Linked DNA regions of Oryctolagus cuniculus. The protein of the gene in region 1 interacts with the protein of each later gene in a biochemical or structural test. Links are inferred from orthologs where the notes say so. Each region holds a gene or a part of one and is shown in the gene's direction. Other genes may lie near its edges.

Region 1 (3,906 bases):
GACCTGTATTCTCTCACTCCAATTCACTCAGCATCCTCTCGCTGAGAAATGCTTGTGGGAAGCTGGCTCTGTCCCAGACACCAAGCCAGCCCACAGCGCTATGAGTCTTAGGCCTGCGCCTCAGCTCAATAGGCTAATCCTCCACCTAGTGGTGCCAGCACACCGGGTTCTAGTCCCGGTCGGGGTGCCGGATTCTGTCCCAGGTGCCCCTCTTCCATGCCAGCTCTCTGCTGTGGCCCGGGAAGGCAGTGGAGGATGGCCCAAGTGCTTGGGCCCTGCACCCCATGGGAGACCAGGATAAGTACCTGGTTCCTGCCTTCGGATCAGCGCAGTGCGCCGGCCGCAGCGTGCCAGCCGTGGCGGCCATTGGAGGGTGAACCAACGGCAAAAGGAAGACCTTTCTCTCTGTCTCTCTACTCTGCCTGTCAAAAAAAAAAAAAAAAAAAAAAGAAAGAAAGAAAGAAAGAAAAGAAAACAAGTCTGATGACTGCAGAGAGCTGCCCTCAGGCCCCTCTGAGACCTTCGCCATCCAGGTGGGACTCCTGAGAGACACCCAGGTTCTCCCCTCTCACTGACCCTTGCGACTACAACCGTCTCTCTCTAGGTCCAGTTTTCTGTTTCAGTCCGCAGCTCCCTGCAGTCCAAGACCTCACCAACCCTGGCGTGGCATTCTTTCCAGAGCGTCAGAGCGTCAGAGTGGCTCCACACCTTCAGGCCATCCTGCACCGGGACAGGTGACAGTCCTCTGACTTGAATTCACGAATGCTCCTGAATGCTAGCACACAGGGAAGTCCACGGCTTTCTAACTCAAACCCCGCTTCTTCCTCTATCTACTCTGCTATCCCAGCATGCCAGGCGATTCCACCTCCGCAGGGTTTTGGCACAGGCACAGGCACAGGCACAGGCACTCTTATCTGGAGTCCACCTAGCAACTTCCTACAAAACCTTCTCCTCGATTCAAACGGCACCTTCTTTGGGAAGCCTCCCCGATCTCCTGAGTTGGGCAAGTCCTCTTCTGTGACTTGCGGGAACTGAATCTTATTTACCTTCAGAGGGCCCCTGGATGCCACGGTTCAGGGCTTAAGGAATCCAGTCGCTGCCTTGAGCCTATTTAGCCGTAATTATAAGGGGGGGGGGGGCAGCTCTGGTTCGGCTCTGGCTTGCCAGGCTGACCGCGCGCCAAACTCCCGGTCGGGCGTTCTCGCAGGTGCCCAGGCCGAGCTCGCGTAGCTGGGTCGTCGGCACGCTCCGCCGCACGCGCGCGACACCCGGCGCGCCCCGCGTCGCGGCGCTCCGCCCCCAGGCCCCGCCAGCCCGCCACTAGGCCTCGAACCCGGCCTCCGCCAGGTCACGTGCGCCGTCTCGGCCAATGCGCAGTCTGCTCGGGCCCTAAGCCCCTCCCTAGGCCGCGCGCACGTCGTGGGCGGGAGTGGCGCGCGCAATTCCTCTGGCCAATTGCCGTGCAGCCCGCGGGACCCCGGTAGTGAAGGCAGGGCTGCTGCGAACCCCGAGCGCGGCAGTTGGCGCGGCGGAGCCATGGTCGGCCACCTGAGTGAGGGGGCCATTGCGGTGAGGAGAGGCTGGGAGCGGTCGTGGGCGCGCAGCCGTGCGGAGCGGGGACGGAGGAGGGGAGCCAGGGCGGTGGGCGGGACAACGCAGGAGAAGCAGATGGCGGGGGAGCCGCGGGGGTTTACCCCGCGCTGATCGGCGCCCTCTTGTCGCGGGAGCCTTCCAGTGTTCGTTACACACGCTCAACGTTTTTCTGCCAAGAAAACAGACGTGTACTTTGTTCGCATCTCCCTCGCCGGCCGCCCTTCCCCCATCCCCCCAAACTTCTCGAGAGTCGTCTGTTTCCAGTTACTCTGTGTCCTCGCCTCGCGGCACCTGCCGTGGGTCAGCCTGGTCCCCGCGGCGCTGGGGCCTGTTGATCACCTCTGCCTTTGGCCTCTGGCTCAGCTTGCCTAGTCTTGCTTTTGATCCCCTGGCTCCTCCCCCTCCACCCCTGGCAACTTCATTACCATCCAGAAGTCAGTTAACAGGTTTCTCCGTGCCAAGCCCCCTTTACTCGAAAAGACTTCTGTACTCATCCGTCTACCTAGTGTATCAAAGGCATCTTAAATGCCATCTGCCCGGAGCAGATCCTTTATCTTCCCAAGTCTGGGTCTCCGGATGTTACCCAGCCAGAAACAGTTCACACGTCCAGTCCAGCACCAAGTGGAGCGTATTTTACCTTAGCATAGATCCTTTATTTATTTTTGGTTAAGATTTATTGACTTATTTGAAAGGCAGAGTTACAGAGAGACAGAGGCAAAGAGAGAGATCCTGCATCCTCTTGTTCACTCCCCAAGTGGCCGCCGTGGCTGGAACTGGGCCGATTCGAAGCCAGGAGCCAGGACCTTCTTCCAGGTCTCCCGCGTGGGTGCAGGGGCCCAAGCACTTGGGCCACTTTCTATGATTTCCCAGGCCATAACAGAGCTGGATCGGAAGTGGAGCAGCTGGGATTCGAACCTCCACCCCTGTGGGATGCTGGCACTGCAGGCAGAGGCTTAGCCCATTGTGCTACAGCACCAACCCTGTTTGTTTCTTTTTAAATATTTCTTGTATGTGAAAGGCAGAGTTGGAGAAGGAAAAGGAGAGAGAGCTCTTCCATCTGCTCCTTCACTTTCCAACATCCTGGAGCCAGGAGCCTGGAACTCTGTGCGGATTTCCCGTGTGGGTGGCCGGGGCCCAGCACCTGGGCCATCCGTTGCCGCTTTCTCGAGCGCATTAGCAGGGAGCTGGATTGGAAGAGGAGCAGCCAGGGCTTGAATCAATGCTCATCTGGATGTCAGCTAGAGGCTTAACCCCACTGTGCCACAACCCGGGCTCCCCACGTAGATCTTTTAAATCCATCCACTTCTTCCCATCTATACTGGCACCTTCATTTCTTGGCTTGACTACCCTCTTCCCACTATTCTTTTACTCTCTTCTATAGCCTTAAAAAAAAAAACCTTTAAATTCCTGATACATTGCATACTCTTGCCTTACGCGGGGCTCTTTTTTTTTTAAAGATTTATTTATTTGAAAGTCAGAGTTACACAGAGAGACAGAGAGGTCTTCAGTCCGATGGTTCACTCCCCAGATGGCCGCAAAGGTTGGAGCTGCGCCCATCCGAAGCCAGGATCCAGGAGCTTCTTCCAGGTCTCCCACGTGGGTGCAGGGGCTCAAGGACTTTGGCCATCTTCTACTGCTTTCCCAGGCCATAGCAAAGAGCTGGATTGGAAGAGGAGCAGCCGAGACTAGAACCAGCGCCCATATGGGATGCTGGCGCTTCAGGCCCACTGCATCACAGCGCCGGACCCTTACGTGGGGCTTTTGAACATTCTTTTCCTTCTGCCTGGGTTCTTCACTCCTCCCTCATGGGCTAACATAATTTTCAAATCTTAAGCTCAGTAGTTACTTTTGGGGGAAGTCTTCTTTGACTTCACTTACTAGGCTAAATTATTTTATTTTGGGACTGTAATTCCTGTGTGTTCCCTTGTTAGATCTGTGACTTTGGGCAGAACACTGGACTGTTTTCCTTCTGTAATATCAGGGTGATGATGCCTAGTACCTTTTGCATAAAGTAAGAAAGTGTGTTAATACATTTAAGTGTTTAGCTCATTGCCTGTTACATAGTAAATGCTCAGTATATGTTACCTGGGATTAATAGTCACACGTGTAATTTTACATTGATTGCTTATTGATTAATTGCTTATTGATTAATGTCAGTTACGGTCTGTCTCCTCCAGTAGGTTGTAAATTCCATGGGGCCTGCAGTCATGCTGGGTTGTTTTTGGTTCCCACAGTGTCCCCAGTACCTGGAGCAGAGCTGACGAGTTGTAGGTGCCTGGCAAATGTTTGCTAGCTGCGTGAATGATTAAGACA
Region 2 (3,906 bases), on another chromosome or scaffold:
TTGTGTAGGGAAGAGATGCACTTTTCCTATACTAACTCATCAGAAACCCAGGGATTTGGTTCTGCCTGTCTAAGGACAAAAGTATAATATCACTTAAAGATCTTAATTGGCTTTGATTTCCATTAGAGTCAGGCAACACTCCCACCAACAGAACAAAGGAAGTGTCCAAGGGTTTGGGCAGAGGAGGTTGGCTTCATGGAGTTGAAAACAAAACAGAAAGAACAAAATGTGAATTGGTAACCCACTTTCCTTGGAGGGCGGGGACAGGGAGACTGAATAAGGTAAAAAATGATGGATTCATCAGCACCAGATGACTTCAGGTCACTGTTTGTAAGGATTAAAGCAGAGAGCTTATCAGAACCGTCATTATGCCTGCTTAGGGAACTTGCCCTGTTTAGGGACCACACTGGGTTGTTTAGGGAACATAGCTGTTATCTCGGTTTAGTAACTGCTTGAAAGATCAGATAACAATTCAGTTTGGGTTTGGCAACATGAACAGCCTCATCGTAAGGGCTTCCATCTGACCTGGTCCGTCAGGGTGCAGAGCAGAAGCCTCTGTGGTCTTCATGTTAAATATACCCTTTTCAGTAAAAATATAAAATCAGGAAGAAAAGAAACATACCCTGGTTATCACTTCCTCTATTTACAGCCGAAGAAACAGAGGCGTAGAGTCCGTACCGTGGACCACCTGTGTGGAGCTGGCATTTGGGCACAGTTTGACTGTCGAGTCCACGCTCTTGCCCCCTCCGCCATTAATTCTTCTCCCCAAGCCTGTGCTCACGCTGTTGCCCCTTCTAGAATACTCCATTCTCCTTCTTCTCTGACAATGCCCACCTGCGGAAGTCCAGCGCAGAAGTCTTCGCTGACCACACCTGTCCGTCCTACACCTTTGTCTGCTTCCCTACGTGAATCTCGAGAATATCCCATTTTACTGATCCCCACGAAGAACCAGACACTATCCGAACTGCAAGGGACCTAGAAGGACGAAGGGGCGGTGAAGCCGGCAACTTGTCTAAGACCACCGAGCAAACTGTGGTAGGAGTAGGGCCTTCAATTTCTTGGACAGTGTTCCTCTCCCTGTGCTTTCTTCACCAGGTCGGCCAGCAGTGTCTCTCAAAGGGCAGCCCAGAAAACACCTGCCTCAGAATTACGTGAGGCACTTTCAGACTTTCTAAGGCAGACCCGAGAAATCTACATGAGATTCGAAAGACTGCATTCCAATAGCTCAGTACAGAACGACTAGCCCTTTAAGTTCCCATTGCACTATGGGAAGTGTAGTTTCGGATCGCCTCTCCGCTGCTTGCCCCGCCCCTGAAGGCTTCACGGAAGAAGCCGAGTGAATCCGGAGACAGCCGATTGTCCCGGGGCGGGCTCTTTCCTGTGCCGTTGCATTCTGGGAAAGGGCAGTTTCCGTTAGGTGCTGAAGGCTGAGGCGCGCGACCGGCCACACTCCCACGTGAAACGCTACGCGGGCATCGCTCCGCGGGGTAGCTCCCTGCTTACCGCGGAGCGTCCGGAAGCAGCGGGGGAACCGGAAGTAGCCCGCAGAGGCGCCGAAGGTAGACCCGGAGCCCTGAGTAAGGCGCCTCAGAGCGCTGCGTCGGCGCCATGTCCCTGATCTGCTCTAGTGAGTACTGGCCGCTGGCGATCTCAGGTCGCAGGAGGCGGGAGAGAGGAGAGGGCTAGTGTGCAGGCCGCTGCGGCGCCGGGGTCGGGCGGAGGCGGGAACGGGCCGCCTGTCAGCACGGGGTGCTCTGCCCCTTACGGCGGCGTGTATTTGGCGCAGTGTTGGCGCAGTTTACTTATCACCTCAGGTTTATTGTCGCAGGGGTCACTTGGGCCCACTGGGCAGGCCTGGGCAGAGGAGCTGGTGCAGGGGAAGCCGCCGTGGTGTAGGAGCCAGGAAACCTGAGGATTTGTCCAGCAGCAGCCTTCGATCGGCCTTGCGATGTGGCGCGAGACGCTGGGCCTCAGTTTCCCCGTCTGCGAGACTGAGAGCATTGCGTTGGGTCTCGTCGGAGGTCTCGCACGGATAGTTGGAGCCTCTGCAGTTTGCGAAGGTCACGCAGGGAGCGAGAGGCCGACGGGGCTGGAAGCCAGGTGTCCGGCTCCCAGCCGCGCGCTGTGCATGACTGATAAAAAGAGCACACACATTGGTTTACAGCACGCTTCCAAGCCCACGATCTCGTTTTGTCCTCGCAGGAATTCCCTGCGGGAGGCGTACAAATGGGACTGTAGGGCTCGGGAGGAGTGGGGCTCCTGTGGAGGGGCACAGCCAGTGCCCGCGAGAGCTGGTTGATGGGGCCAGACTGACAGCGGACCGATTATTGTCTGGTGCAGACGACTAGGCCCAGGCAGTCATAGTGAACAGTGTCGCAGAGCTGCCTTGAAGAGATTAAGTGACCTCCTCTGCCCGGAGACCTTCGGCCTCTCCCGACGTGAGCCAGTCTCCCCTGAGTGATGAGATTCCAGAGGACGCATCCGTGATCCATGTATTTCTCTTGGAGAGCCTGTGTTGGGATAGATAAGGAATTCAGCGATACCTCCATTGCCACCACGCTTGGGTTGGGGGTGCAGAGAGAGAGGGGGCAAGAGACACTGAGCCTCAGCCTGCTTCTGGTTAGTCCAAAGTGTTGCCCATGCCGGACTGCCACACCTGGAGGTGCCCCCTCCTGAGCCCCGGCCCGAGCCTGCACTCATCCACCCGATTTGTTGGGTGCTGCAGGGCGTCTGCGTTGGACTGAAGTACCAGACGGGCTGTGCTCACTGCCCTTCAGGGGGGCACTGTCTCCCAGGGCAAGAATGTGTATGAGAACTGCTTGGAGGTTGTTGGGGGGACAGGTGCACCTGTGTGAAGTGCTTAGCATCCTGGCCGGCACGGAGTGAGCACCGTGTAAATGGTTCTGGTACCCTGGTGTCTGTCATGCTGCTGTGTAGTCCCTGTGTCTCCTGATCCAGTTAGGGTTGTGACTGAGGTGGATGGCAGCTGCCTGAATGGCTTCACACGCTCTCCAGGGTGTGGAGAGTAACTCTCTGGTGTGGGTCCCCAACTACCTGTTGAAAATGAGATGGCAGGGCTTATTGACTGCATTCTGGGTGCCCAGTGCATAGGAGCTGTGTAGTAGTTAATTTTTGACCACCCAGGCTTTCGAGAGACCAATGGAGAAGCCACATAGGTAGCTGGAGAACATTTAGGGGCTAGCCTAAAGCTGCCTTGGCATCATGTGCTTCCCCTGAGTTGAGTGGATGTGGGGACTTGTTGGGCTGGTGGCAGTTAGGAATCCCCTCGGCCCCAGATTGTCTTTCATCCCAAGCCTACTGCCTGCCTTTCTCTGCAGTCTCCAATGAAGTGCCAGAACACCCGTGCGTGTCCCCCGTCTCTAATCACGTCTACGAGCGGCGGCTCATAGAGAAGTACATTGCTGAGAATGGTACAGACCCCATTAACAACCAGCCTCTCTCCGAGGAGCAGCTCATCGACATCAAAGGTACCCGTTGGTCGGCCTCAGTGTGGGCCTCTTGGCTCAGAACCTGAGGTTGGGGTAGGGGGGTTGCCTGGGTTACAGGTTTTCACACCTGACTTTCCTCTCTTGGCAGTTGCCCACCCAATCCGGCCCAAGCCCCCCTCAGCCACCAGCATCCCAGCCATCCTGAAAGCCTTGCAGGATGAGTGGGTAAGTTCCTGGGAGAAAGCTGATGTCTCCCCCACTCAGAGAGAGTATATCCCTGGACTAGGACGTGGGGTGGGGGAAGGCAGCACAGGGGGAGCTTGGTGGTGAAGTCACACAACCTGGATCCCACGCTTCTCTCTCTCGCTCATGAGCAGTGTGACTGGATTTATTGCTCTGAGCCCTGATTTTCCTGACTGTATCACATAGATTGGTGCCTGGCTTAGAGTTTCTGAGG

Evidence for each region.
Region 2: the proteins of RPA1 (region 1) and PRPF19 form a complex in vitro, tested with the Homo sapiens proteins (2 studies listed by BioGRID, with this or other methods). The link is inferred for Oryctolagus cuniculus from reciprocal best matches to the Homo sapiens genes RPA1 and PRPF19.

What each region holds. Positions count from the first base shown.
Region 1 is NC_091448.1:47,342,782-47,346,687, forward strand, and holds the start of RPA1 (replication protein A 70 kDa DNA-binding subunit), read left to right. Parts: upstream 1-1,384; 5' UTR 1,385-1,536; coding exon 1,537-1,569; intron 1,570-3,906. UniProt on the Homo sapiens protein: As part of the heterotrimeric replication protein A complex (RPA/RP-A), binds and stabilizes single-stranded DNA intermediates that form during DNA replication or upon DNA stress.
Region 2 is NC_091432.1:11,685,672-11,689,577, forward strand, and holds the start of PRPF19 (pre-mRNA-processing factor 19), read left to right. Parts: upstream 1-1,385; 5' UTR 1,386-1,608; coding exon 1,609-1,627; intron 1,628-3,338; coding exon 3,339-3,488; intron 3,489-3,597; coding exon 3,598-3,674; intron 3,675-3,906. UniProt on the Homo sapiens protein: Ubiquitin-protein ligase which is a core component of several complexes mainly involved pre-mRNA splicing and DNA repair. Required for pre-mRNA splicing as component of the spliceosome.